Stegostoma tigrinum: one gene and its partner. The protein of the gene in region 1 interacts with the protein of each later gene in a biochemical or structural test. Links are inferred from orthologs where the notes say so. Each region holds a gene or a part of one and is shown in the gene's direction. Other genes may lie near its edges. The genes, in order: pstpip1a and ptpn18.

Region 1 (15,634 bases):
ATAATCTTCTTCCCTGTACACTGCATTACCTATTTTGGTGTCATCTGCAAACTTACTAACCATGCCTCCTATATTCACATCCAAATTATTTATATAAATTATGAAAAGCAGTGGGCCCAGCACCGATCCTTGTAGCACAACACTGGTCACAAGCCTCCAGTCCGAAAAGCATCTCTCTCTACCGTCACCTTCCATTCCTACCTTCAAGCCAATTTTGTGTCCAATTGGCTAGCTCCCCCAGATCCCACGTTAGTAACCTTGTGTGAGGCTGGATGAACACAGCAGGCCAAGCAGCATCTCAGGAGCACAAAAGCTGACGTTTTTGGCCTAGACCCTTCATCTGATGAAGGGTCTAGGCCCGAAACGTCAGCTTTTGTGCTCCTGAGATGCTGCTTGGCCTGCTGTGTTCATCCAGCCTCACATTTTATTATCTTGGAATTCTCCAGCATCTGCAGTTCCCATTATCTCTTAGTAACCTTGTGAACTGCTTTGCTAAAGTGCTGATCGACAACGTCTACGGCTCTTTCTTTATCAATCTTTTTGTCACCTCCTCAAAAAAAACTCAATAAGTGAGACATGATTTCCCATGCGCAATGCCATGTTGACAATCCCTAATCAATCCTTGCCTTTCCAAATATATGTAAATCTTGTCCCTCAGAACCCCCTCCAATAACTTACCCACCACTGACATAAGGCTGACCAATGTATAGTTCTCTGACTTTTCCTTACAGCCTTTCTTAAATAATGGCACCATATCAGCCAACCTCCAGTCTCCCGCACCTCACTGTAGTTATTGATGATACAAATATTTTAGCAAGGGGCCCAGCAACCTCTTCCCTAGCTTCCCACAAAGTGCTGGGACACGCCTCATCAGGTCCCAGGGATTTACCTACTTTATGCGTTTTAAGACCTCCAGCACCTACTCTACTGTAATATGAATTTTTTTCAAAACATCATTATTTATTTCCTGAAGTTCCCTTGCTTCAATATACTTCTCCACAGTAAATACTGATGTGAAATATGTGTTTAGTATCTCACCCATCTCCTGTCGTTCCATAGACAGACAGCCATGTTGATCTTTAAGGTGCCTTATTCTCTCCCTCATTTCTCTTTTGCTGTTAATATACTTACAGAATCTCTTTGAATTTTCCTTAGCTCTTGTTTGCCAAAGTTATCTCATGCCCCTTCTGATTTCTTTCTTGAGTATACTCCTACTGCCCTTATACTCCTTTAGGGATTCACTCAAATTCAGCTGTCTACACCTGACATATTCCTCCACCTTTTTCTTCACCAGAACCTCAATATCTCTAGTCATCCAGCATTCCCTACACCTACCACACTCTCAGGAACATACTGTCTCTCAACTTTCCTCATCTCATTTTTAAAGGCTTCCCACTTCCCAACTGTCCCTTTACCTGCATATGGCATCCTCCAATCAGGGATGTCTCATCCCCTATCTCCAATTTTTGAACGTTTCTGTCTGATACCAACAAAATTGGCTTTGCTCCAATTTAGAACTTTTACCTTTTTGATCAGTTCTGTCCTTTTCCATAACTATTTTAAAACTAATAGAATTACGATCACTTGCCACAAAATGCCTCCCCACTGATAGCTTGGTCACTAGCCCTGCCTTCTTTCTTCTTTCTTTCTTCTTTCCTCCCTACCCAACACGACTATGATCATCACAGTCTTTGTTTGGAAAGTTAAAATCCCATACCATTACAGCCTTCTTCTTACAAATATCTGACACCTCCTCACATATTTGCTTCTCAACTTCTGCTCACTATTTGGAGGGCCAATGATGCAATCTCAATAAGATAATCATCCCTTTCTCATTTCTCAGTTCCACCTGTATAACATCACTGGATGATCCCCCGACAAATATCCTTCCTCAGTTACATCCTTAATTAAAAACGCTACTGCCTTTCCTCTCTGATGAAGGGTCTAGGCCCGAAACGTCAGCTTTTGTGCTCCTGAGATGCTGCTTGGCCTGCTGTGTTCATCCAGATTCACACTTTGTTATCTTGGATTCTCCAGCATCTGCAGTCCCAATTATCCCTTTCCTCTCTTGCCTCCTTTTACTAACCTTCCTCCAGCATTTTTACCACACAACATTAAGCTGCCAGTTCTGTCCATCCCTGAGCCACGTGTCTAATAGCTATGATATCCCAGTCCCATGTTCCCAACTATGCCCTAAATTCATCTGCCTTACCTGTCAGGCCTCTTGCTTTGAAGTCAATGCAGTTTCAATTATCAGTCTTACCTCATTCTCTCCCAAGGTCTTGTCTGTCTCGACTATTTGACTTGTTCCCCTTATTTACTGTACCAGCCTTTTCTCTTTTCTCACCATTGCTTTGGTTCCTATCCCTCCCTTACTAGTTTAAAACCTCCGAGTAACACTAGCAAATCTCCCCTAAAGGATATTGATTCCCTTCCAATTCAGGTGGAACCTGTCTCTCTTATACAGGTCATTACTACCCAAAAATGTAAACCCTTGTCCCCTACACCAGCTCCTCAGCCGCACATTCATCTGCTCTATCCTCCTTTTACTACTCTCACTAGCACGTGGCACCAGGAATAGTCCAGATATTACTGCCTTCAAGGACTTTTTTTTAAAATCTCCTGCCTAATTTCCCATATTTGCTCTGCAGAACCTCATCCTTTTCCCTATCTATATCATCACCAACATGTACAATGACCTCCTGCTGGTCATTCTCCCCAAACAGAATATTCTACACCCATTCTGAGACATCCTTGATTTTGGCAACAGGGAGGCAACACACCATCCTACTGTCTCTGTGACGGTTGCAGAAATGTCTGTCCGTGATCCAGACTGAGATAGTCCCATGTCACAATCAATCGCTTGGGACCTGAAATACCCCTCATTGTAGAGCTAGTCACGGTATCAGAAATGTGGCTGCTAGTGCTCTACACCCCTGAAAAGCCAGCCCTCCTACAGTATCCAAAACAGCACATCTGTTAGAGATGGGGATAACCACAGGAGACTCCTATACTACCCAGCTATCAACCATCAACCCAACTGCATCTTCATAAATGGTGCCTGACCTGCTGGGTTGGTTCAGTAATTTCTGTTTTTCTTTTAAAGGACCACATATTTGGATTATTAACTGTAACGTAGCTTTTACTGAAATGAATATATAATAGTACAAACTAGACAAATAAATGATTAAATCTGCTGTCTTTTCCTCCTGTCAGCTTTCATTTTCTGTGCGGTATTTTGGAATACCAGAGAGGACAGCAATGATGGTGAACTGGTAGTTGGGCATTAAGTTATAAAGCAAAGTTCACCAAACTGAGATTGTTTTTATAGCAGATTGACTGCAAGGCATAGAATGTGTAACTTATAACAGAATATTATTGTTTGGCAGTCCCTCAGAACAATGACGGTACTTGCTCATGGCAAGAACCTGCCCATGGAGTATAGTAAGATGTGGATCCTGTAGTCAGCACACATAGTTCTGGCTAATCAGGAAACTCTCCTGCTCATATCACTTGCCGAGAGTTATGTTGGTAGGATTTATAGGCTGACAATCAATCTGTTTGGCCACGTTACAAATACAACTTTCATGGTCAACAAATTCTGGCATGGAACTCAACGTAAGTTTCTGGCCCAGAGGCAACAAACACTGTCAGTGTGCCTCAAGATCACTGGCCTGCAAAGTGAAACTGTCGTAATTGGTGAACACATTCAGTATATTGTTCTTCTTAAATCATACTCTGAACAGGAGAGGTGATGGCCTAGTGGTTTTGTCACTGGACAGTTAATTTAGACACTCAGATAATGTTCTGGGGACCTGGATTCGAATCCTGCCATGGCAGCTGGTGGAATTTGAATCCAATAAAATATCTGACATTAAGAATCTAATGATAACTGTGAATCAATTGTCAGGAAAAAGTCCATCTGCTTTGCTGATGTCATTTAGGGAAGGAAAATGCCATCCTTACCTGGTCTGGCCTACATGTGACTCCAAAGCCATTGCAATGTGGTTGAGTCTTAACTGCCCTCTGGGCAATTAGGGATGGCAATAAATGCTGCCTGGCCAGTGATGCCCTCATCCCACGAATGAATAAAAAAAGATTTGCATTTATTAGGCACCTTATCACATCTCCAGGAAAACTTTCCATAGTATCAAAACAATTGTTTTACTTTAAATACAATAATTGTTATATAGATAAATATAAAAGCCATCTTTTGTACATAACAACAAGTCACCACAAACTAATGGATGAAAAGCCAGTTGAACGTCACGTGCCTGGGTAGGTGGCATCTTCAACAATATTCGAGAAGCTTAATGGCGTTGAGGACAAAGTAGTCCCTAGATTGGCACCCTATTCACCACCTTGAACATTAATAATTTGATACATGGTAGAGTATACCATCTACAAGATGCACTGCAACAACTCACCAAATCTCTTTAGATATCACCTTTCAACCTCACAACCTCTATCATGTAGAATGGCAAGGGCAGCAGAAACATGGGAACACCACAACCTGCAAGTTCTCCCCCACGAAGCCACACATCATCCTGACTAGGAATTAGATAACTGTCACTGTGTCAGAATTATTCAACTCTTCCACTAGCAAAAATGTGTGTACACCTATGCACCACAGACTGCTTTGGTTCAAGGAGGCAGCCCACCAGCATCTTCTCAAGAACATTTAGGATGGGCAATAATTGTTGACCCAGCCAGTGCTGCCCAGGTCCCATGAACAAATAAAGTATCAGGTGAGGCAATGGCCTGGACTGTTGATTCAGAGACCCACATAATGTTCTGGGGATCTGGGTTCGAATCCCACCATGGCAGATGGTGGAATTTGAATTCAATAAATATCTGGAATTAAGAATTTAGTGATGACCATGAATCCGTTGTCAATTGTTGGGGGAAAACCCATCTGGTTCACTAATGTCCTTTAGGAAAGGAAACTGCCATCTTACCTGGTCTGGCCTACATGTGACTCCAGACCCACAGCACACCAGCAATGTGGTTGACTCTTAACTGCCCTGTAGGCAATAAATGCTGCGTAACCAGTGACACTCTTATCCTGTGAATAAATTTTTTAAAAGAACTATTGAAGGCTAAGGGCTAGGATGTTCTTTGAAGACTGTCACTGAATCATCCATGTCCACGTGATAGTGACCTCAACATTTCATCTCAACAATCACACCCCGAATCAATCAACACTTACTTCGTGCTGCACAGAAGTGACAGCCTCAATTATGTCCTCAAGTCCCACAGTGTGGCTTGAATCTAGTAACATGTGAATACTGTACCAACCGGACAAGCTGACATTGAATTTAAAAATATTTCTGCTTTCAGAAATAATAGGAGACGAGCTGACAGCAGCTAGATTTTTCAGTTGATTATCCTGACATCATATTGGATTAAAACCTGGGGTAATTGGTTCAGGAAGTGACTAGTATACAACTTCTTTGAAAATGTGTCTTCAAGTGTGGAACTTGTCTGCAGCATCCATTGCTTCTAGCCACATGAAAATAAGTTGTCAGATGTGTTACTTAATGCAGACTAGGCTCAAAACACAATATCCTGGCTGCAGAATGCTAAAGATGCAAGTCGTGTTGCAAAGTTTTCTCTTCCTTTCTGTACTGACTGTTTTATTTTATCATTATAGAGGCTGTCAATAATTAAACTATGACTGTTGTGAACCATGGGAAATTTTATATTGGCCTGCTTAACAACAGTAAATCCAGGAGGTGCTGAATGTTTAACCCCAATTCATTACAAATAACTTCCACATCTAAAATGCGCAGATCTGCAATTGTTTTTTTTTGCAAAACGTCTGCAACAGCCAATGAGAACAGCTTGTACTCTGGAGAGTGGGTGTGAAAGGGAGAGAAGGCCTGCATCAGTTAAAACCTTGTGGAAACTTTTATTCAGGGTGTGTGGTTAACACTGACAAGGTTTTATTAATTGTCCACTTCTGGTAGTTCTGAAACAGTAATGGATCTTGTCCTTGAATCACTGCAGTTGTTATCCAATGTTACTGCTGCAATGGTGTTGGTTGTTACCATCTAGTAGGGTCTGACAGGGCTATTTGATAAGAGGTGAAACTGAGGAACAGATGATGGTTAGTTTTTATTCATTCATGGAAATGTGAGCTTTGCTTGCTGGGCCAGCAATTATTGCCTATCCCTAGTTGCCCTTGAGAAGATCAATCTTTTTAGTATACATACACCCACAATGCCCTTAGGAAAGGAGTTCCACGATTTTGATTGAGTGACAGTGAAGGATCAGCAATATATTTCTAAGTCAAGATGGTGTGAAACCCGGAGGGGAACTTGCTGGTGATGGTGTTCCCAGTTTACTGCTGCCTTTGTCCATATAGCTACAAGTATTGCTGATGTTTAGCGTAGGATTTGGAGACAGTAAGAACTGCAGAGGCTGGAAGCTACAGTCAATAAATGAGGAGCTGGAAAATGTGGTGCTTTTCCAGCGCCACATTTTTTGACTTTAGGATAGGGTTGACAGACTATTTATTTGTCAAGAGTTTGGTTATCCTGTTTGGGTGTGGAGAGACACCAGAAGTGGTTCCCCTTTCTGATCCTGAAGACAAAATACTGCCTCCCACTCTCATCATCAAGCATAGCAGTCTTTGCTGATTCTACCATCACGGCTCAGACCTTCAATATAGTTATAATGGGCTATAGTCTAGTCTTTCGCAACAAAGTGAGCACAAGGTTCTTTTTAAACTTAATTTGATGACAGTTACTTTGTGAATGATGAACAAAGTCAAGGTGATATTTTACCAATGGTCACAATCCCATAAAAGAAACATCACATCCATGTTCCCTCTATATCCAGGCCATATAGAAAAGCACAAAGTCATGATGAACCCTTATAAAACACTCTTTCAGCCTCAGTCAGAGCATCTTGTCCAAACCCGGGCACTGGACCTCCCAAAGGATGTGAAAGCTTTAGAAAGAGTGTGAAAATAAATTTTGTAAGAATAGTTCCAGGGATGATGGACCTGGACAGATTGTCAAAGCTGACAGCTCTTCTCCTTAGAAAAGGAGACACTAAAGGGGGATTTGATTGCGCTGTTCAAAATCACCAGACAGTGTAAGACAGAGAAACTGCTTCGCGAGGAGAAGAGTCAAGAACCAGTTGGGAACGATATTGGGTGATCGGATAAAGAAGGTCAGCAAGACAGAGAAAAAATATTTTTACACAGCCAATGGTAAGGATCTCAATACTCAGCTTCCTGCTGTCATCATTCAGCATAGCAGTCTATCAAAGCCCTGACAGGGTGATGAGGGCAGACTCAATCATGGCTTTCCAAAGACAATTGGATAAGAATTATGGCATGGTGGCTCAGTGGTTAGCACTGATGAGCCTCACAGTTCCAGGATTGCAGGTTTGATTCCAGCCTCAGGCAATTGTCTGTGTGGAGTTTGCACATTCTCCCAGTGTCTGCATGGGTTTTCTCTGGGTGCTGTGGTTTCTTCCCAAAGTCCAAAAATGTGCAGGTTAGGTGGATTGGCCAGGCTAAATTATCTATTGTGTCCAATGATGTGAAGGCGAGGTGAGTTACCTCATGGTAAATGTGAGGTTATAGGGATAAGGTGGGGGCGGGGGGGCTCTGGTTGGGATGCTCCTCTTTGGAGGGTTGGTGTGACCTAATGGGCCAAATGTCCTCTTTCTGCACTATAGGGATTATATGATAACCTGAAGGGGAAGTACTGGCACAGCCAAGTGGGAAATACCTGAATCATTCAAACAGAGAGCCAACATGGATGAGAGGCTGAATGGCCTCTAGGATGATGTGATGTTAAGACTGCTTTGCCATGAGTGGTGTCAGGAAGTGTCTCACTGATTTTAAGTGACCACTGATCAAAGCACAACTAGATGGGGATTGCAACAGCTCTGGAAATCTTTAGAGACGGATAAAAGTGGAGAGGGCACCGAACTCGATGTTGGCAAGAAGCAAGACGCTCAGATGCCAAAACAACCTTACAGACTATGAGATGAGCTGAGATAAGACACGTGATCTTGACTTGCCATAAAAAAAAGGATAAATGCAGTGGTAGTGTTCCTACCTCTGAGTCAGAGGGTGCAGGTTCAAGTCCCACCTCTTGTGGAAGCGCATTACAATAGGTCCAAGCAAGTTCTTTTCAAAACCATTAAAGGCTTTTATGGTAGTGTCCCTGCCTCTGAGCCAGAAGGCCTGGTTTCAAGCCCCAACTGCTCCAGAAGTGTCTCAGGAGCACAAAAGCTGACGTTTCGGGCCTAGACCCCCATCTGATGAAGGGTCTAGGCCCGAAACGTCAGCTTTTGTGCTCCTGAGATGCTGCTTGGCCTGCTGTGTTCATCCAGCCTCACATTTTATTATCTTGGATTCTCCAGCATCTGCAGTTCCCATTATCTCTGCTCCAGAAGTGTATCATCTGAGTAGGGTTGTGAAATTTATATACCAGTACGTGGTTACGGGAATTAAGGTTGCTAATAAAATAAACTGCTTTTGGAACTGTGAATGCAGCCTGAACTGCAGCATTATGTACATCACAAAAATCGCCAACTTACAACTCAAGAAAGAGTTCTCTCTCCCCTGAGCTCCATTTATCCCAGTGAACCCTTTCTCTGTGCTGTAGGAAGTCGTGATCTCGGCTAATGATTCTCAACGACGTTGACAGCTGTTTTCACCTTACCTCCTCATAGACACCTTTTTACATATAAAAATAAATTTGTTACAGCATATCTTTTGCATCCAGCACTCCAAGAATCTCGAAATAAATTGCCTCACGCTGCGCGTTGTCGGTTTCTGAACTCTCTGGAGTGTTGCTGAAACTCTTCACGTGTTAATTGCGGTTACTTCTGACATCACTTGAGTGAACAAAAACCCCCTTCCTTGTTCTCTCTTCGTGCAGGTTGCTACCAACAAGAGTGCTCGAACTGGACGGTCAAATCCCGTTGGAGGTCGCGATTTAGTTAAAAAGCGAGAAAACAAAACCTACGCCAAAGATCCCATCCTTGAAGCAACACTGACCAGAGACGGTCATATCAACTCCACCGGGAAGTTTCATTTTGTTTTTGCTCCTGTCCGCTATGACTCGACTGCGCTTTAAGGATGCTTTCTGGGTGAGTAGCTTTCACGTTCAGTGAAGTGAAACCCTTTATACGGGTTGCACAAGTTAACAATGGACCAATTTCAGCTCAGTTATTTTGTTTTATTTTAAATTTCGTTTCAGACAACATCAAAACCTTCTAACTTGTAATGCGAGGCCATTTGGCTGCGTTAAAGTACAGGGCTTGAATTCAGTGTTCAGTGACAGCCAATATTTAATCCTGAAAATTAATTCGTCTCAAGGGTTTAGTTCATACTTGCACCGTTAAACAAAGAAGCTTCGTTTCTGTTGCACTGGGTTGACTTTTTTTATTTGCGGATCTAATTTCTGACATCACACAACTTTGCATTGCTGTTAATGTTACAAACTGCCGTTGACTCTCTCTGGGTGATCGATAGCCACGTTCAGTTGATCCGAGTGAATCTGAACCCTTAGTTTAGTGAACTGCAAATCTCACTGGGCATTTAGAAATGTCATTTGCTCTCCTGTGCATCGAATATAAACCCCTGCTTGTGTCTTATGAGCCTCTTGGGTACATCTGCAGTTGAGTCGTGCATTGTGACTCCAATTATGGAACGTGTGTTATCGGAAGGGTAGATCCTTTCTTCAGAAATGCAGCTCAGCACCACGCCCGCCCAGAACCACCACTCCCCCCCCCCCCCCCACTACTGGTACGTGGTGATTGTGAGCACTTCTGAGAGAGTGTATGCAGTTAGTGAAAACTGGTGTCGACCTATCTCATTCGCTCAAGAGTAATGTAGGCCAGGATTTACTACCCACCGCTATCTGCCCTGGAGAAGGTGGTATTAAGATGCCTTCTACAACCACTACGGTGTTTGGGATGTAGGGACTCCCACTGTGCTGTTCGAAAGGAAGTTCCAGGAATTTGACCCAAACGTCCTTTTGTCTTTTACACTTCACAGAGTCCTCCATTTATTGTCTATTTCTCCTCTACTCCTCCATGCATCACCTCACCATTGACTTTCATTTCCTCTGTCCACCTGACCCTCATCAATAATTTCTTTTGGTCTTCTCCTTTCTATTCACTATCAACCATATGCTCAATTTTTTTGTACTATCTCTAAATGTTTTAACCATGTCAGCTACAATTTAGCTGAGTTCAGGTTGATTGCCTGTAATTGCTCAGTCTGCCCCTTTTTTTTAAACATTGGTCCTCCAAGACCTTGTCTGTAGATGGAGAGGATTGGAACATGATGATCAGAGTCTCAGCTGTTTCTTCTTTTGTTTCTGTTAACAGTTGCCATCATCCTGGCCTTGGAAATGTATCTACATTCTAAAATGCAAAACCCTTTAGTGTTTTTCATCATGTTTATTCCAACCAATATATACACATACCTCCTCTTTTAAACAGAGTCTGAACTGTGCCACCACACTCCTTGCTTTATGAAGACAAAAGGATGGAATTTTGTTCTCTTCTAGATCTAGACTGGGTGGTGGGGGCTTGATTAATCAGTCAGGATATTTACAGGATGGATGTTCTATTACATCCCCAAATCATGCCTCACCCCCCCCCCCCCCCCCCACTCTGATTTAATGCAGGGTAAGTGGCATAAGGCTCACCTTCTTTCCCAGAAAACAACTGAGATCCTTAATTGACTACCTAGGACCTCATTCCACCACTTCTGGCACGCCACCAGCATTGGGCAGAGCGTCTATACCATGCAGGCAAGCCAGTGAAGATCCCCGGGCTGCCCTATCATAAACACAAACCCACCAAACACCACCCACAAACCAGGTTCTCCCTGTCTGGTGCCAGTGAGCCTACCCCTTCCTTGTGGGTTCCGTTGTTAATTCCTCTTCTGCCTGAGCATCATGCAATACCACTTCTTGGGATTCCAGAACTAGGGGACATCGTGTGAGAATTAAGGCCAGAATATTCAAGAGAGACGGTAGGTACAAAGGATGGTAGATGTTTGAAATTCTAATTGACAAAGAACAGAAAATACTGGATCGATGATCATTTTCAAATTTGAGATTTTTTTGCTGAGCAAATTTTTTAAGAGATATGGGCCAAAGGATAGGAAGCTAGGCCACAGATCTGCCATGATCTAACTGGCTGGTTGAACAGGCTTGAGGGGCTGAATGGCCTACTCCTGTTCCTAGGGGACCTGCTAGCCTCTAGTTGGCTAGAAGCTCTGGGCAGCGGGATATCCACCCATCCACTAAGGGGTGGGAAGCCTTGGTGGCAGGTTCCTGCTGCAAGTTAGGCACCCTATCCCATCCAGATTCTTGGGTGGGGTTTGCCACTGGTTTTTGTTTAGGAGGTTAGGACTCCTGCACCTTGTATTACATTCTTTCCAAAACATTTGTTAAGAACCATGTTCATGGTTTCCTCCTCTTACACAAGTTACTGTTTTTTTTTCTCCAAAAGTCACTTTTTCCTTGGTTATCTTGTTGTGATTTTACGTATTTAGTTTAGAAAAACGTCATCGAGACTTTGTTGATGTACTTGCCAATTTTTTATACCCTCTGTTTGGTTTCCTGATCTCATTTTTTGAATTCACTTCTTGACCTGTCTGCACTTCACTGCGTTTCTGCAATTTTGAGTTTTCTGAACCTGACAGAAGCTTCCCTTTTTATTGCCTTAACAACTTCAACCATATTTTAGCATCAATGAAACTTGTCACTGTCTTTCTTTGCATTTTGAACAATGTATCTCCTCCTTAAGTGCCTCCCACTACAATGACACTGCAATTACCGTCAATTTACTCTTTCCAGTCTGCTTTTGCTAAATCATGTATCTACTTAGCAAAATTGGCCTTCACACAGTTAAATTTTTTTTTACTCCTAGTCCATCCACGTCCTTATCCGTTTCAACACTGAATCTAACAGACTTATCATCACGATGACGAAAACTGCTCAACTGATACATGTGCCATCTGTTCAACTTTGCTTCCTAAAACAAGGCCAGAAACTGTTCCTTCTTTCATTGAGCTTGTAATATACTTATTGGCTTAAAAGAAAATTGCCTGAATGCATTTTAAGAATTCTGGCCACTTGTTTTTTTTATGTTACTTTTAATATTAATCAAATAGAATTAATTGAATCTCAAACTTTAAACCAATTTTTCCTTTCAAGGCTGAAAACCCAAGTTTCCTTTGTATCCCTCCATAACAATCTCTTGATCTGGGTGCAAAAGATGCATACCTTTTATCTTAACAAATGTTGGTGAGATTCTGGAATTGTTAAACTGAATATTTTAAGCATTATTTTACACAGGACGTGGGTATTGTTGGCACAGCTAAGAAATCAGCTTCCTCACAACAGAACAGATTCCTAGGGAACCTATTTCAGAGGAGATTAATCTATTACTGATAGCAGGAGAGGCCAGACCCAATTAAGAAAATGAGATTTCCTTCTGTAATGAATATTAATGAATTAAGATATGTTTTAAAGGCAGTCTGGTAATTTCATGATCATTATTACTCAATCTGTTTATTCCAAATCTATTAAATGAATTTAACATTGCAGGATTTTAAGTCCAGAGCACTGGATTGCTAGACCTATGATGAGATAAGGTTTTAAAATTGAATCATGAGACGTGGAAGAAAATGGCTAGGCCAGTATTTAATGCACGTTCCTCATTGCCGTAGAGAAGTTGTGGTGAGCTGCCTCCTTGAACTGCTGCAGTCCACATGATGTAGGGACATTCACGATACTGTTAGGCAGGAAGATCTGGGATTTTCACGCAGCAGCAGCAAAGGAGCTGCAATATCATTCCAAGCAGTGAGGGAAGTCATTGGTCAGGGACCTGCTTCTGGCTTAGACTGATGAGCTGAGCACAGTGGGCCCCTTAGAGCCCTGAGTCTTGGTTATTGAGCCTTGATGTAAGGCGTGTTGAGCCCTGGCTGCAAGGCAGCTTGATGTGTGACTTGGAGGGCAACTTCCAGGTGGTGATGCTCCCATGTATCTGCCTTGTTGGTCTCATAGTTAGAGGTTGTTAGTTTGGAAGGTGATATCTGAATAGCCTGGGTGAGTTGCTGCAGAGTACCTTTAGATAGTACATTCAGCTGCCACATTGCATCAGTGGTGGTATTCTGAATTATGAACACCAGTGCACGATAGGCTTCTCAAACCAAAAGTCCTTTATTCAACTTATCATTCGTCGGGGTCTGAGCGCTAACCTGACAAAGTCAAACACGTTTTTACTTGTGTCAAAAATAAGGTTGGGAAATATTAAATTATGTGGGGAAGATAGGCATGGAGCCTGTACATGTGAGAAAATGGGTCTGCTCTGCTAGAGAAAATCCAACAAGACATGAGAAAGCACCGCCATTGTGGGTGGAGGAGGATGTCATCAAAATCACGTTTTTGAAGTCAACGTTGAGTTGTAGAACTCATTTTTTTTAGACACATTTTCACACATATCATTTCATATCCCTATCCCTCCTTCACAGCCATTAGTATTCTTTTTTTTTCCCTCTGGGCATCCTCACCATCTGTTCTTCTTACTCTTGCCCCTCTATCAACAACATAGAACATGGCATGTTCCAGTTCTGAATAAGTCACATTGCACTTGAAACATTAACTCTGTTTCTCTGTCCATAGATGCTGTCAATCCTGCTGAGTTTCCCCAGCATTTCCGATTTTTATTTAGCATTTCACTAATGATGTAAATCAAACAATGTTAGAGAGGCAAAGAAAACCCAAGAATCTTGACTTTCAAAGCAAAATGATAGAATACACAGTAGGTCAGTCTATGTACAAAAAAAAGTTACTCTTTCTAATGTGACCTTCAAGTCTGCTGAAATTATCCATCTGATAAAGGGATCTTAGAACATAGAACAGGTCGCCAAATTAAACTAATCCTTTCTGCCTGCCTTTAGTCCATATCCCTCCATTCTTTGCATTTTTATGTGCTTATATAAAAGTCCCTTAAACACCTCTATTGTATTAGTCTCCACCACCAACTGGCAGCGCATTCCAGACTCCTTGCACTCTGTGTAAAAGAAAACTTGCCCCTCGCATCTGCTTCGAACTTGCCCCTCTCACTTTAAATGCATGCTCCTGGCATTAAACGATTCTACTCTGGGAAATAGTCTTAAGACTCATGATCATAAAATAAGTTTCTTTTCTGATGTTGAATAACATATTGTGCATTTTCAGAAGTTTCTGGTTTCGAACAGCATTAATACCTACCAAAGTGCTGCAAATATTGGAAATCATTAATGAAAATGAAACTGTTGAATGTGCTGGACAGACCTGGTAGCATCTGTGTGGGGAGAGAGAAGAGAGACCAAGTTCCTTAACTCTCATTCTCTCCCTGAAGCTAACAGATTTGCTGAGCCTTTTCATTTTTAATACATCTTAGTTCTTTTGTCGCAAGTTGAATTCCTGAATGATTTCAATATTTTGATACACTAAGGAAATTAGAATAGTGCACTTGGAGGAAAGATAATTTAAAAGAGGTTTAGGGAACACAAATGGTGAAAAAGTGTTTTGGTTGGCTGTTGACTCCCGAGGCAACTGAGAGACTTCAGTAGTGATAGGCATGATCTCAAATAGAGAAGGGAATTTGATTAATGCAAACAGTCTAAAAATAGCAAAATAATTATAGCACCATTACTTTATCGTCAGTGCTCACATTATCAAGCTCACTAATCTTCAAGCGAGCTCTCCGGTGCCTCATTTAACATTTGACTCTACAATGCCATTAATTAGTGACATCTTTAACTCTGAATTGCAACATTAATGTATATGTTCCACACTCCAGAGCTGAGCATTAATATCCAGTGTAATTTAGACTAACATTATTCGAGTTATTATTGCCTGAATTGTGTTGTTTGCAAGCTCAGTGGATGTTTATAAGTTACTGGCTATTTGTTATTCGTGGAATCTGGCTGCATGTCTGGTTGCAGAGCAACATTTCAAAAGTAAGATAGTAAAATGTGAGGCTGGATGAACACAGCAGGCCCAGCAGCATCTCAGGAGCACAAAAGCTGACGTTTTGGGCCTAGACCCTTCGTCAGAGAGGGGGACGCGGTGAGGGTTCTGGAATAAATAGGGAGAGACGGGGAGGTGGACAAAAGATGGAGAGAAAAGAAGATAGGTAGGGAGGGGATAGGGCAGTCCAGGGAAGACGGACAAGTCAAGGAGGTGGGATGAGGTTAGTAGTTAGGAAATGGAGGTGCAGCTTGGGGTGGGAGGAAGGGATGGGTGAGAGGAAGAACAGGTTAGGGAAGCAGAGACAGGTTGGACTGGTTTTGGGATGCAGTGGGTGGGGGGGATGAACTGGGCTGGTTTTGGGATGGGGTGGGGGAAGGGGAGATTTTGAAGCTGGTGAAGTCCACATTGATACCATTGGGCTGCAGGGTTCCCAAGTGGAATATGAGTTGCTGTTCCTGCAACCTTCGGGTGGCATCATTGTGGCACTGCAGGAGGCCCATGATGGACATGTCATCCAAAGAATGGGAGGGGGAGTGGAAATGGTTCGCGGCTGGGAGGTGCAGTTGTTTATTGTGAACTGAGCGGAGGTGTTCTGCAAAGCGGTCCCCAAGCCTCCGCTTGGT
Region 2 (14,805 bases), on another chromosome or scaffold:
CGCTCCCCAGCAGGGCGGGCTGTGCCGGGAAATTGGCCGGATCTTCTGCCGCATTCCCGGTCGAGCTGGTGTCAGAGAGCTCCTTCTCGCTGTCCTCCTCCTCGTCCAGGAGGGTCACCGGGAGCGCGACCCCCTGCCAGCTGCGGCCAGCCCCGTCGGCGCCCGGGGTTGGGGGATCCTCACCTGCGGAAGGTGGGGTGGGAGGGAGACAGAGAAACAGCTCACTTTCAATCCGGGAACCGTACACCATTCAGCCCCTCCTCCACCAGCCTGCTACACTGAGACAGCAGGCCATTCAGCCCCTCCTCCTCCAGCCTGCTACACTGAGACAGGAGGCCATTCAGCCCCTCCTCCTCCAGCCTGCTACACAGAGACAGGAGGCCATTCAGCTCCTCCAGCCTGCTACACAGAGACAGGAGGCCATTCAGCCCCTCCTCCTCCAGCCTGCTACACTGAGCCAGGAGACCATTCAGCCCCTCCTGCACCAGCCTGCTACACAGAGCCAGGAGGCCATTCAGCCCCTCCTGCACCAGCCTGCTACACAGAGACAGGAGGCCATTCAGCCCCTCCTCCACCAGCCTGCTACACAGAGACAGGAGGCCATTCTGCTCCTCCAGCCTGCTACACTGAGCCAGGAGGCCATTCAGCCCCTCCTCCTCCAGCCTGCTACACTGAGCCAGGAGGCCATTTAGCCCCTCCTCCACCAGCCTGCTACACAGAGACAGGAAGCCATTCAGCTCCTCCAGCCTGCTACACTGAGCCAGGAGGCCATTCAGCCCCTCCTCCTCCAGCCTGCTACACTGAGCCAGGAGGCCATTCAGCCCCTCCTCCACCAGCCTGCTACACAGAGACAGGAGGCCATTCTGCTCCTCCAGCCTGCTACACTGAGCCAGGAGGCCATTCAGCCCCTCCTCCTCCAGCCTGCTACACTGAGCCAGGAGGCCATTTAGCCCCTCCTCCTCCAGGTTGCTACACAGAGACAGGAGGCCATTCAGCCCCTCCTCCTCCAGCCTGCTACACAGAGACAGGAGGCCATTCAGCCCACCTCTTCCTCAAGCCTGTTACACAGAGACAGGAGGCCATTCTTCCTTCAGCCTGTTACACAGAGACAGGAGGCCATTCAGCCCACCTCTTCCTCCAGCCTGTTACGCTGAGACAGGAGGCCTTTCAGCCCACCTCCTCTTCCAGCCTGTTATATAGGAACAGGAGGCCATTTAGCCCCTCTGAACCCTCAAGCCTGCTACACAGGACCATGAGACCATTTGTCCCCTCCCCCTCGGGGGTGGGTGGTGGTGGAAGAGGTGTGACAGAGCTGGGGCCATGCTTTGCACACGGGGAGATCGCGGCACAGTGAGAGCTGTTACCTGGAGACACAGCCTGCTCATCCCCTCCCATCATCACCTCCTCTCCGAGCGGCAAAGGGCTGACTCGCTCCACGCTCATCCTGTGACCCCTTGCAGTGGGTCAAGCTGGGTCACGGCTGGCAGCATCCCAACGCCAGGCTGTGGGGCTGGAACGAAGAAGTAGGCCATCAGGGACGAGACCCTGCACTCTCAGATATCACCCACCCACACCCACGCTTCCCTGCCAACTCAGACACTATCTGGGGCTTAGCTCCCGCGCCATCCTGCGTTGTCGGAGGGTCCGAGGCGGACAATGTTTGGGGCCCAGGGCACGACCCTGAGGAACTCCTGCAGAAATGTCCTGGAGCTGAGATGACTGACCTCGATCAACCACAACCATCTTCCTATGTGCCAGCTATGACCCCAACCAGCAGAGAGTTTGCCCCGCCACCCCGATGCCACACTCGGTCGAATGCAGCCTTGACCTCAAACTCAAGGACTCAGCACTTCTTTCTGTCCACGTTTGAACAAGGCTGGAATGAGGTCAGGAGCTGGGCAGTCACCGAGCAAGTTACTGTTTGATAGCGCTGTTAGTGAGACCTTCCATCACCTTAGTGGTGATTGAGAGGAGACCATTGGGGCGGTAATCGGCCGGGTTGGATATGTCCTGCTTTTTGTTTACAGGGCTTACTTGGGCAATTTTCCAGGTAGATGCCAGTGTTGTAACCGGACTGGAACAGCTCGGCTATGGGACCGGCAAGTTCTGGAGCACAAGTCTTCAGTACTACTGCAGGAATGTCGTCAGGGCCCATGGCCTTTACAGTATCCAGTGTCTCCAACTGTTTCTTGATATCAAATTGGCTGGAGACCGGGATACCCAGGCACATTGCAAGGGGCCGGGTTTGGGGGGGGGGGGGGGGGGGGGGGGTGAGCGCACATAAAATACCACAGTCGCTGGAATTCTGAAATGGACAGAGGATGCTGGAGAAACTCAGCAGGTCTGACAGCATCTGTCGACACACACAGACTCACAATTTTGAGTCCGCTCCTGGGATTGATGCAGAGGTCTCTCCCTGGTGTCCAAGCCCCCTTTAAGTCGTCATTGGACAAGCATATGGACGTACATGGAATAGTGTAGGTTAGATGGGCTTGAGGTCGGTATGACAGGTCGGCACAACTTCGAGGGCCGGAGGGCCTGTACTGTGCTGTAATGTTCTATGTTCTATGTGTATCCCTGCAAACACACCAGAGCCTGCAACACGTCGGGGGGGAGGCTACAGGCAAACTGGCCATTGCCCTTCCCCTGCCAACAAGGAGACTTTTACATGCACAGCAAGCTCCCGCATGCTACAGTTTGAAGACCCGACTGGTCAGTCTGGTCTTTCTTTGGAAAGCAACATCGGTGGTGTACACAGAGCCCCAGTCACACGTATTCGCTGTTACCACCCTCGGAGACAGACAGCACCCTGACCAAAACCGTGACGTGAGACAGTGCTCTGCTACACTCCTACAAGTTTATCGGCCAATTCAGCCCATCAAGTCTGCTCCCCCATTCAGTAAGATCATGACTGAGTTGATCACCACCCTCAAATCTGCTCTCCCGCCATTTCCCCATAACTCCTCGATTCCCCCTTCCTGCTTAAACATCTCTCTCTCTCAGCCTCAAATATAACCCCTCGATCCCCCCCCTTCCTGATTAAACATCTCTCTCTCTCAGCATTGAATATAACCCCTCGATCCCCCCCACTTCCTGATTAAACATCTCAGCCTCGAGCGACACAGCACCGACAGCCCTCTGCGGTGAGGAATTGCACAGACTCACTCCCCTTGGAGGGAGGAAAGTCCTCCCCATCTCTGCCCTCAATGGGCGACCCACCCACGTCCCCACCTTACTCTGAGAACGATGCCCGCTCTGGTCCTAGACTCTCCCACACAAAGCGTGGAAACGATCCCTCCGTATCTCCCCTGTCAGGCTCTCCCCCTCCCCACCCTGGCAGCCTTTTCTGTTTCAATAAGATCACCCCCTCACTCACCTAAACTCCACCTGACGTACTCAACCTCTCCCTCAGGAGGCAGCCCCTCCATCCCCCGGATTGGCCAATGAGCCTCCTCTCAACTGCAGTCTGTCTTTACTCAGACAATTGGGGCCCAGAACCGTTCACAGTAAACCAGCTGTGGTCTGGCTCTTTGCTTCGTACAGTTTTAGCACGAAACCCCTAAGTTTGTACTCTATTCCCTTAGAGAGACAAATCGATAGTCAGCCTGAACTTAGATGTTAGTTTTTTTTTGGAGATTTGTGCACGAGGACTCGCAAATCCCTCTGTTCCAAAGCTTTCCACATTTAAATAATATTCAACTCCTCTGTTCTTCCTGCTTAGGGTGCATTCCCCACCCGTCTCTGTAGTGCAGCAGCTGCTCGGTTACTGGCCCAGTGCAAATGGAAATTTGCTCTCAACTTTTGCTTTAACCTGTGGTTCTGGTTGTGCAGACTGCCCTCAGCACTCAAGCCTCCCCCCCCCCCACCACCCGCCCCACTATTTTTGGGCGCGCCTGCCTGCATCTCGGAAGCAACGAGGCGCAGGTCAAAGGACTGACGTGGCGGGTTTTTAAAAATAGGTGAGGTGAGACGAAGCGACAGGGGACGCGGGCCTGGTCTCTATCTCCCCCGCCGAGACGGGCAGGCTGGTGGTGAGGTGCAATGCGATCACCGTCTGCACTTTGGGGCCGAACAGGCTCTGCTAGGCGCACAGGAGGAGAAAGAAACATACAAGCTGCTCGGTTATTTATAACTGCGACCGCATCAGTTTACAGACTTGGGAGAATGTGGCTGGTGGAGGGGCGATATTACCAGGAGGCAGTCCTTGTTGGTGGTGGGAGCAGACAGGTCAGACCCCGGCAGACGTTGGGATACAAATCCTGAGGGATGCTGGAGAAACTCAGCAGGGCTGGCAGTCCCCTGGATGGAGGGGTGAGGGGGATTGTGGATGTGGAGGAGAGAAATGGACTTGTCTCGGGCCTGGTATCACTGTTAGACTGCCTCACCCTCACTGCACATGCACAATGACTCTCAACCTCACCTTGTACACACAAGCAAGGACTCATTCCAACATCACGTGCACACGCACGCCCCCATCCTCCTCCCACCCTGATACGCAGACAGATGCACCGCTCTCCCGTGTATAGAGATACACACGCATGGCCACCATATACGCACCTCATCCCCCCTCATGCACACTTCCCCACATCCACGTGTGCAGTCACAACACACACACACACACTCCATATATATGCAATCCCCCTATACATGACCACCCCCCAATGTACACACAGGTCCTATACACAGGTCAGTCCCGTACGCAGCCCCAAATACACAGGTCGGTCCCGTATGCAGCCCCAGTACACACGCACATTCCACATACAACTCCAAACACACCCACCCTCCATATACACGACAGTCCCATTCACTGCCCCAAATACACCCGCCCACCCCGCCTCCATACACACCCGCCACCCCCCCCGCCTCCATACACACCCGCCACCCCCCCCGCCTCCATACACACCCGCCACCCCGCCTCCATATACACGCTGGTCCCATTCACTGCCCCAAATACACGCCCCTCCCCCCCCCCAAATACACGCCCCTCCCCCCCCCAAATACACGCCCCTCCCCCCCCAAATACACGCCCCTCCCCCCCCAAATACACGCCCCTCCCCCCCAGTACACGCCCCTCCCCCCCCAAATACACGCCCCTCCCCCCCAGTACACGCCCCTCCCCCCCAGTACACGCCCCTCCCCCCCCCAAATACACGCCCCTCCCCCCCCCCAAATACACGCCCCTCCCCCCCCCCCCCAAATACACGCCCCTCCCCCCCCAAATACACGCCCCTCTCCCCCCAAATACACGCCCCTCCCCCCCCCAAATACACGCCCCTCCCCCCCCAAATACACGCCCCTCCCCCCCCCAAATACACGCCCCTCCCCCCCCCAAATACACGCCCCTCCCCCCCCCCCAAATACACGCCCCTCCCCCCCCCCAAATACACGCCCCTCCCCCCCCCCAAATACACGCCCCTCCCCCCCCCCAAATACACGCCCCACCCCCCTAAATACACGCCGGTCCCATACACAACCCCAAATACACCCCACCCCCAACGTACGTCCTACATACGCCCCGTACACACCCCATAATTACATACCCTGACACAGAGGCAGAGGCAGAGGCAGAGGCTCCCCTCCCAACCTCACACCTTCCCTGTTCCCTCCGCTCACCTCCCGGCCTCCCCCAGTGTCAGCTTCTGGGACCCGGTATCAGGGGGAGCCCCCACTTCTCCCCCTGTCCCTGGGGCCTGATCCCTGTTTCTCTCACCTTCCGCTGCCGGCCCTGACTGACGTTGACGCCGACCAATCCGAGCGGCCGCCTCCTCCGCACCTCTCCACCCTGCCCCGCCTCCTTCGCCGGGTTTCTCCAATCCGAACCCGACCAGGCGCCGTCTCCGCCTTCGAATGGCTGCCCCGTCACCCAATCAGCGGGAAACGCTCACGTCGGAACCAATGGCAGCTCCAGTGGTTGAGGAAGCCTACTCGGATTGGTCAAGCGCTCACAGCCATTTAGACTGCTACCCGCCCCCTTCACGCATCGAACCAATGGGAGGGCGGGTCAGAAAAAAGACGTGACATTTAACCATTCAGCAGTCAGGCTTGTTGTCCGCCTTCCCCCATCTTAGGCCAATGGAAGACAAAGATTCTCCAAAGGACACACCATTTCACCAATAAAAAGGCAGCATGGAAATCCCGCCTCCATCTCTGACCAATAGTGGGTACCCAATTACTGATGGACGCGGCTCCTAACCAATCGAAGGGTGGAGATTCTATCCTCCCCGTCCCGCCCCTCCGTCGACCCACACGATGGGCGCGGCTTCCCTCCAACAGCCGCCGGGCTTATGTCACGCCCCTTCCAAATCGAGCCACTGGGGTGAGGGCCTGCGCTCTGACGGACGTGGATTCCGACCAGTAGGCGCTGGCGTGGGCGGAGCCGCGCCCTGGAGGTGTGTCAAGGAGACCCCGATGGGCAGGGGCTTCGGTCCAATCAGGTGCCGTGCCCGCGGGGGGCGGGAGAGCGAGAGAGATCGCAGTTAGAGAGAGAGAGTTCAAACTGCAAATACGGAGTTATCAGAGAGAGAGAGAAAAAGGGGGAAAGTAGTCATTGTGAGGGTAAAATTAGTCAAACAGACAGAGGGGGGCAAAGAAGTGAAAGAGAGAGAGAGAGAAAAAAGGGGGGGAAGTGAGAAAGAGAAAACAGTGAAGGGGGAAGAGAAAGAGGAGAAAAAAGTGAAGGAAAGAGAAAGAAAAAAGTGAGGTGGAGAGAGAGAAAACAGTGAAGGAGAGAGAGAAAATAGTCAAGGAGGAAGAGAAAGAGGAGAAAAAGGTGAAGGAAATAGAAAGAAAAAAAAACAGTGAGAGAAGAAGAGAGAGAAAATAGTCAAGGAGGAAGAGAAAGAGGAGAAAAAGGTGAAGGAAATAGAAAGAAAAAAGTGAGGTGGAGAGAGAGAAAACAGTAAAGGAGAGAGAGAAAATAGTCAAGGAGGAAGAGAAAGAGGAGAAGAAGGTGAAGGAAATAGAAAGAAAAAACCTTGAGAGAAGAAGAGAGAGAAAATAGTCAAGGAGGAAGAGAAAGAGGAGAAGAAAGTGAAGGAAAGACGTGGGGGGGACGAAGAGGGAGAAAATAGTGAGGCATAGAAAGGAAAAGTAGTGAAGGAAGGAAGAGATGGGGAAAAAGTGAAGGAAAGAGAGAGAGAGAGAGAAATTAGAGAAGTAGAGAAAGGTGGAAAAGAGGGAGAAAATAGTGGGTCGGAGAAAGGGAAAGTCGTGAAGGAGGGAGAAAATTGTGAATGTGGAAGAGATGGAAAAAAAGTGAAGGGGAGAGAGAGAGAGAGAAAATATTGAAGTGGAGAGAAGGGTAGAAAGCGAAAGAGAGAAGGAAACAAGTGAAAGACAGAGATAAGATAGTGACAGAAAAAGAGAGGAAAAATGGTGAGACAGAGAGTGGGGCGAAAGTGAGTGAAAGAGAGAAAGTAGTGAAGGGAAAAGAGTCAGGGAGAGAAAACAGTGAAGGAGAGAGAGTTTAAATTGGAAATAGATAATAGAGTTGTCAGAGAGGCAGAGGAATATAAAGTGGAAATATATAAAGTAGAGTTATCAGAGAGAAAATAGTGAATAAGAGAAAGTTAATAGTAAAAGGGAGAAAGCGTGCATTGGGAAATATGTAAGTATAGAGTTATCACACAGAGGGAGAGGAAGAGAAAATAGTGAGGGAGACGGTTTAAACTGGAAATAGACTGTACGAGTGAACACAGACAGACAGAGAGAGAGAGAAGAGAATGGTGTAGAAAAAAGTGAGGAGGGAGCAAATAGTGTGACATTGTGAGGAAGTAGTGAGAAAATTAAATAGATAGAGAGACAGTGTCGGTGAAAACAGAGAGGCAGAATGGAGTGTGATTGAAAGCAGCGAGAGAGAAAACCGATTTTGAATAGAGTTGGAGAAACTGAGAAGTCAAGCAGACAGTGGGTCAACAGTGCGCGTGAGAGAGAATCGAGGGAGAGGTAACGGTGAGGGAGTGGCCTGGAGAGAGAGAGAGAGAGAGAGATAGAGAGAATCGTTGTGGAGGGAGTGTTGGGCAGGAAGGACAGAGAGTAGCTTGAGGGAGATGGTCTGGAGATAACGGATTATTCAGAGCGAGAGAGAGAGAGAGAGAGAGAAGATCTTGGGAGAATGAGAGGACCCAGGGCTGTGTGAGTGTCGGATAAAGTTGGGCAGCAGTCAGAGGCCAGAGAGCGGTTGCAGTGCGGGCTGCGAGACGGGGTGAGGTGGAGCGCCGTGACCCATGGAGGAGATACTGAGAGGGTTCCTGCAGCACCTCGCTGAGCTGGAGAAGGCGGATGGAGACGAGAGCGGATTCAGCAAGGAATTCAGTGTAAGCCTGGGCCGCGGTACCGCTGGCAGGGTGTGGGTCCCAGCTCGCTCGCTGGATGGTGTCGGGTTCGGAATGGTCTCTGCTACCCCCCCCCCACCCCCAACCCCACCCCCACCTCACCTCACTAGCTCTGGGGAGGTGCGGGAGAAACCCGTGGTGATCATCTGTGAGTAAGGTAATAGGTGGAAGGGCTGAGTGGCCTGCGTCAGTGAGTCTGCACATCCTGGTCGATCGGATCTCAGTGAGCAAGGGTCACAGCTCCCCAGGCAGAATGTACAATGACCTCTGCCCCTCCCACTCCCTTTCCCAACACTCCTAGCCCCCCAGCATTTTCTCGTACACCTACAGGGGTCAGCCCTTGCTCAGCTCCCTCAGCCATGGTGAAGATGGCAAAACTGGACTAAGAGCCTGTAAACTGCAGCTCTAGTCATTACTTCAGCTGTTAAACATGGCAATTTGTGTGTGTGTGTGTGTGTATACGTGCATGTGTGCGCATGCGCCACTTGTCTATGTGTGTGTGTGTGTCTCCCTGTGAGAGTGTGTATGTGTGGATGCATGTCTCCGTGTCTGTGTGTGTGCACATGCATGTGACTGCCTGTCTATCTTTCATATCAGTCTCTGACTGTCTGTCCGACTGTGTGTCTGAGTGACAGCGTGACTATCTGACTGTGTCTGTGCTGTCTGACTGTGCCTGGCTGTATTTGTGTGTGTGCGACTGTGTGTCTGTGTCTGTCTGACTGTGTGTCCATATGTCTGTGTGACTGTCGGTGTCCTGTCTGTCTGCCTCGGTTGCTAGCTGTGTCTGTGTGAGTTTGTATGGCTGTTTGATAATGTGTGTCTGTGTGACTTTCTGACTGACCGTGTGTCTGCCTGACTGTGTGTATCTGTGTGACTTGCTAACTATGTGTGTCTGTGAGAGAGACTGCGCGACTCTGACTGTGTGTGTGTGTGAGAGAGAGTGTGTGTGTGTGTGTGTGTGTGTGTGTGTGTGTGTGTGTGTGAGAGAGAGAGCGACAGTCTGTGTGACTCTGTGACTGTGTATGAGAGAGAGAGACTGCGTGACTCTGTGATTGTGTGTGCGCGCGCGCACCTGTGTGTGTGTGTGTGTGTGTGAGAGAGAGAGACTGCGTGACTGTGTGCGCGCGAGAGACTGTCTGCGCGACTGTGACTGTGCGCGTGCGAGAGACCATCTGCACGACTGTGACTGTGCGCGCGCGAGAGACCGTCTGCGCGACTGTGACTGTATGTGAGCGCGAGAGACTCCGCGACTGTGTGTGTATGTGAGAGACTGTCTGCGCGGCTCTGTGACTGTGTGTGTGAGTGTGTCTGTGTGTGCGTGCGCGCGAGAGAGAGACTGTGTAACTGTGACTGCGTGTGTGAGAGAGAGACTGTCTGTGCCACTGTGACTGTGTGTGTGTGAGAGAGAGACTGTCTTCGCAGCTCTGTGACTGTGTGTGTGTATGTGAGAGACTGCGCGGCTCTGTGACTGTGTGTTTGAGTGTGTCTGTGTGTGCGTGCGCGAGAGAGAGAATGTGTAACTGTGACTGTGTGTATGAGAGACTGTCTGTGCCACTGTGACCGTGTGCGCGTGAGAGAGAGACTGTCTGTGCCACTGTGCCACTGTGACTGTGTATGCGTGCGCGCGAGAGACTGTCTGTGCCACTGTGACTGTGTGTGCGCGCAAGAGAGACTGTCTGCACGTAGCTGTGAAGTGTGTGTGTGCGCAAGAGACTGTCTGCACGGCTCTGTGACTGTGTGTGTGTCTCTGTGTGTCCGTGCGCGAGAGACTGTCTGTGCCACTGTGACGGTGTGTGTGAGAGAGAGAGAGAGACTGCCTGTGTGACTGTGTCTGTGTGAGAGAGAGAGAGACTGTCTGTGCCACTGTGACTGTGTGAGAGAGAGACTGTCTGTGCCACTGTGACTGTGTGTGTGTGAGAGAGACTGCGCGGCTCTGTGACTGTGTGTGTGTATGTGAGAGACTGCACGGCTCTGCGATTGTGTGTGTGTTTCGGTGTGTGCGTGCGCGAGAGAGAGACTATGTAACTGTGACTGTGTGTTTGAGAGAGAGACTGTCTGTGCTAGTGTGACTGCGTGTGTGAGAGAGAGAGACTGTCTGTGTAACTGTGGCTGTGTGTGTGTGTGAGAGAGAGCGACAGTCTGTGTGACTGTGTATGAGAGAGAGAGACTGCGTGACTCTAACTGTGTGTGTGTGAGAGAGACTGTGTGACTCTGTGATTGTGTGTGTGTGTGTGCGTGAGAGAGAGAAAGAGAGAGAGACTGCGTGTCTGTGCGCGCGCGAGACACTGTCTGCGCGACGGTGACTGTGCGCGCACGAGAGACTGTGCGACGGTGACTGTGCGCGCGCGAGAGACTGTCTGCGCGACGGTGACTGCGCGCGCGAGAGACTGACGGCGCGACTGACTGTCTGCACCACTGTGCGCGCGCGACTGTCTGTCTGCACCACTGTGCGCGCGCGACTGTCTGTCTGCACCACTGTGCGCGCGCGACTGTCTGTCTGCACCACTGTGCGCGCGCGACTGTCTGTCTGCACCACTGTGCGCGCGCGACTGTCTGTCTGCACCACTGTGCGCGCGCGACTGTCTGTCTGCACCACTGTGCGCGCGCGACTGTCTGTCTGCACCACTGTGCGCGCGCGACTGTCTGTCTGCACCACTGTGCGCGCGCGACTGTCTGTCTGCACCACTGTGCGCGCGCGACTGTCTGTCTGCACCACTGTGCGCGCGCGACTGTCTGTCTGCACCACTGTGCGCGCGCGACTGTCTGTCTGCACCACCGTGACTGTGCGCGCGTGAGACACTGTCTGCGCGACTGACTGCACCACTGCGCGCACGCGAGAGACTGTGTGCGCGCGTGAGACACTGTCTGCGCGACTGTCTGCACCACTGCGCGCGCGCGAGAGACTGTCTGCGCCACCGTGACCGTGCGCGCGCGAGAGACTGTCTGCGCCACCGTGACCGTGGGCGCGCGAGAGAGAGACTGTCTGCGCCACCGTGACCGTGGGCGCGCGAGAGAGAGACTGTCTGCGCCACCGTGACCGTGGGCGCGCGAGAGAGAGACTGTCTGCGCCACCGTGACCGTGGGCGCGCGAGAGAGAGACTGTCTGCGCCACCGTGACCGTGGGCGCGCGAGAGAGAGACTGTCTGCGCCACCGTGACCGTGGGCGCGCGAGAGAGAGACTGTCTGCGCCACCGTGACCGTGGGCGCGCGAGAGAGAGACTGTCTGCGCCACCGTGACCGTGGGCGCGCGAGAGAGAGACTGTCTGCGCCACCGTGACCGTGGGCGCGCGAGAGAGAGACTGTCTGCGCCACCGTGACCGTGGGCGCGCGAGAGAGAGACTGTCTGCGCCACCGTGACCGTGGGCGAGCGAGAGAGAGACTGTCTGCGCCACCGTGACCGTGGGCGCGCGAGAGAGAGACTGTCTGCGCCACCGTGACCGTGGGCGCGCGAGAGAGAGACTGTCTGCGCCACCGTGACCGTGGGCGCGCGAGAGAGAGACTGTCTGCGCCACCGTGACCGTGGGCGCGCGAGAGAGAGACTGTCTGCGCCACCGTGACCGTGGGCGCGCGAGAGAGAGACTGTCTGCGCCACCGTGACCGTGGGCGCGCGAGAGAGAGACTGTCTGCGCCACCGTGACCGTGGGCGCGCGAGAGAGAGACTGTCTGCGCCACCGTGACCGTGGGCGCGCGAGAGAGAGACTGTCTGCGCCACCGTGACCGTGGGCGCGCGAGAGAGAGACTGTCTGCGCCACCGTGACCGTGGGCGCGCGAGAGAGAGACTGTCTGCGCCACCGTGACCGTGGGCGCGCGAGAGAGAGACTGTCTGCGCCACCGTGACCGTGGGCGCGCGAGAGAGAGACTGTCTGCGCCACCGTGACCGTGGGCGCGCGAGAGAGAGACTGTCTGCGCCACCGTGACCGTGGGCGCGCGAGAGAGAGACTGTCTGCGCCACCGTGACCGTGGGCGCGCGAGAGAGAGACTGTCTGCGCCACCGTGACCGTGCGCGCGTGAGAGACTGCGCGACTGTGACCGTGCGCGCGAGCGACAGACTGTCTGCGCGACTGTGACCGTGCGCGAGCGAGAGACTGTCTGCGCGACTGTCACTGTGCGCGCGAGAGAGACTGCGCGACTGTGACTGTGCGCGAGCGAGAGACTGTCTGCGCGACTGTGACTGTGCGCGCGCGCGGGAGACTGTCTGCGCGACTGTGACTGTGCGCGCGCGCGGGAGACTGTCTGCGCGACTGTGACTGTGCGCGCGCGCGGGAGACTGTCTGCGCGACTGTGACTGTGCGCGCGCGCGGGAGACTGACTGCGCGACTGTGACTGTGCGCGCGCGCGGGAGACTGTCTGCGCGACTGTGACTGTGCGCGCGCGAGAGAGACTGTCTGCGCGACTGTGACTGTGCGCGCGCGAGAGAGACTGTCTGCGCGACTGTGACTGTGCGCGCGCGAGAGACTGTCTGCGCGACTGTGACTGTGCGCGCGCGCGAGAGACTGTCTGCGCGACTGTGACTGTGCGCGCGCGCGCGAGAGACTGCGCGACTGTGACTGTGCGCGCGCGAGAGAGACTGTCTGCGCGACTGTGACTGCGCGCGCGAGAGAGACTGTCTGCGCGACTGTGACTGCGCGCGCGAGAGAGACTGTCTGCGCGACTGTGACTGCGCGCGCGCGAGAGACTGTCTGCGCGACTGTGACTGCGCGCGCGCGAGAGACTGTCTGCGCGACTGTGACTGCGCGCGCGCGAGAGACTGTCTGCGCGACTGACTGCGCGCGCGCGAGAGACTGTCTGCGCGACTGTGACTGTGCGCGCGCGAGAGACTGCGCGACTGTGCGCGCGCGAGAGACTGCGCGACGGTGACCGTGCGCGCGCGAGAGACTGCGCGACGGTGACCGTGCGCGCGCGAGAGACTGCGCGACGGTGACCGTGCGCGCGCGAGAGACTGCGCGACGGTGACCGTGCGCGCGCGAGAGACTGCGCGACGGTGACCGTGCGCGCGCGAGAGACTGCGCGACGGTGACCGTGCGCGCGCGAGAGACTGCGCGACGGTGACCGTGCGCGCGCGAGAGACTGTCTGCGCGACTGTGACTGCGCGCGCGCGAGAGACTGTCTGCGCGACTGACTGCGCGCGCGCGAGAGACTGTCTGCGCGACTGTGACTGTGCGCGCGCGAGAGACTGCGCGACTGTGCGCGCGCGAGAGACTGCGCGACGGTGACCGTGCGCGCGCGAGAGACTGCGCGACGGTGACCGTGCGCGCGTGAGAGACTGCGCGACGGTGACCGCGCGCGCGCGAGAGACTGTCTGCGCGACTGTGACTGCGCGCGCGCGAGAGACTGTCTGCGCGACTGTGACTGCGCGCGCGCGAGAGACTGTCTGCGCGACTGACTGCGCGCGCGCGAGAGACTGTCTGCGCGACTGACTGCGCGCGCGCGAGAGACTGTCTGCGCGACTGTGACTGTGCGCGCGCGAGAGACTGCGCGACTGTGCGCGCGCGAGAGACTGCGCGACGGTGACCGTGCGCGCGCGAGAGACTGCGCGACGGTGACCGTGCGCGCGCGAGAGACTGCGCGACGGTGACCGTGCGCGCGCGAGAGACTGCGCGACGGTGACCGTGCGCGCGCGAGAGACTGCGCGACGGTGACCGTGCGCGCGCGAGAGACTGCGCGACGGTGACCGTGCGCGCGCGAGAGACTGCGCGACGGTGACCGTGCGCGCGCGAGAGACTGCGCGACGGTGACCGTGCGCGCGCGAGAGACTGCGCGACGGTGACCGTGCGCGCGCGAGAGACTGCGCGACGGTGACCGTGCGCGCGCGAGAGACTGCGCGACGGTGACCGTGCGCGCGCGAGAGACTGCGCGACGGTGACCGTGCGCGCGCGAGAGACTGCGCGACGGTGACCGTGCGCGCGCGAGAGACTGCGCGACGGTGACCGTGCGCGCGCGAGAGACCGTCTGCACCACTGTGACCGTGCGCGCGCGAGAGAGAGAGAGACTGTACCACTGTGACCGTGCGCGCGAGAGAGAGAGAGAGACTGTACCACTGTGACCGTGTGTGAGAGAGAGAGAGAGAGAGAGACTGTCTGTGCCACTGTGACCGTGTGTGAGAGAGAGAGAGAGAGAGAGACTGTCTGTGCCACTGTGACCGTGTGTGAGAGAGAGAGAGAGAGAGAGACTGTCTGTGCCACTGTGACCGTGTGTGAGAGAGACTGTCTGCGCGTAACTGTGAAGTGTGTGTGTGTGTGCGAAAGACTGTCTGCGCCACTCTGCGACTGTGTGAGTGCGTATGAGAAACTTTCTGTGCGACTCTGTGACTGTGTGTGTGTGTGTGTGTGTGTGTGTGTGTGTGTGTGTGTGTGTGTGTGTGTGTGAGAGAGAGAGAGAGAGACTGGCTGCGTGACTCTTTGACTGTGTGTGTGTGTGTGTGTGTGTGTGTGTCTGTATGTGTGTGCGCGAGAGAGACTGTGCAACTGTGACT

Evidence for each region.
Region 2: the proteins of pstpip1a (region 1) and ptpn18 form a complex in vitro, tested with the Homo sapiens proteins (2 studies listed by BioGRID and IntAct). The link is inferred for Stegostoma tigrinum from reciprocal best matches to the Homo sapiens genes PSTPIP1 and PTPN18.

What each region holds. Positions count from the first base shown.
Region 1 is NC_081389.1:19,785,775-19,801,408, forward strand, and holds the start of pstpip1a (proline-serine-threonine phosphatase-interacting protein 1a), read left to right. Parts: upstream 1-8,868; 5' UTR 8,869-9,084; coding exon 9,085-9,117; intron 9,118-10,916; exon of another isoform or gene 10,917-11,014; intron 11,015-15,634. UniProt on the Homo sapiens protein: Involved in regulation of the actin cytoskeleton. May regulate WAS actin-bundling activity. Bridges the interaction between ABL1 and PTPN18 leading to ABL1 dephosphorylation.
Region 2 is NC_081402.1:2,188,448-2,203,252, forward strand, and holds the start of ptpn18 (tyrosine-protein phosphatase non-receptor type 18), read left to right. Parts: upstream 1-6,456; 5' UTR 6,457-8,225; coding exon 8,226-8,315; intron 8,316-14,805. UniProt on the Homo sapiens protein: Differentially dephosphorylate autophosphorylated tyrosine kinases which are known to be overexpressed in tumor tissues.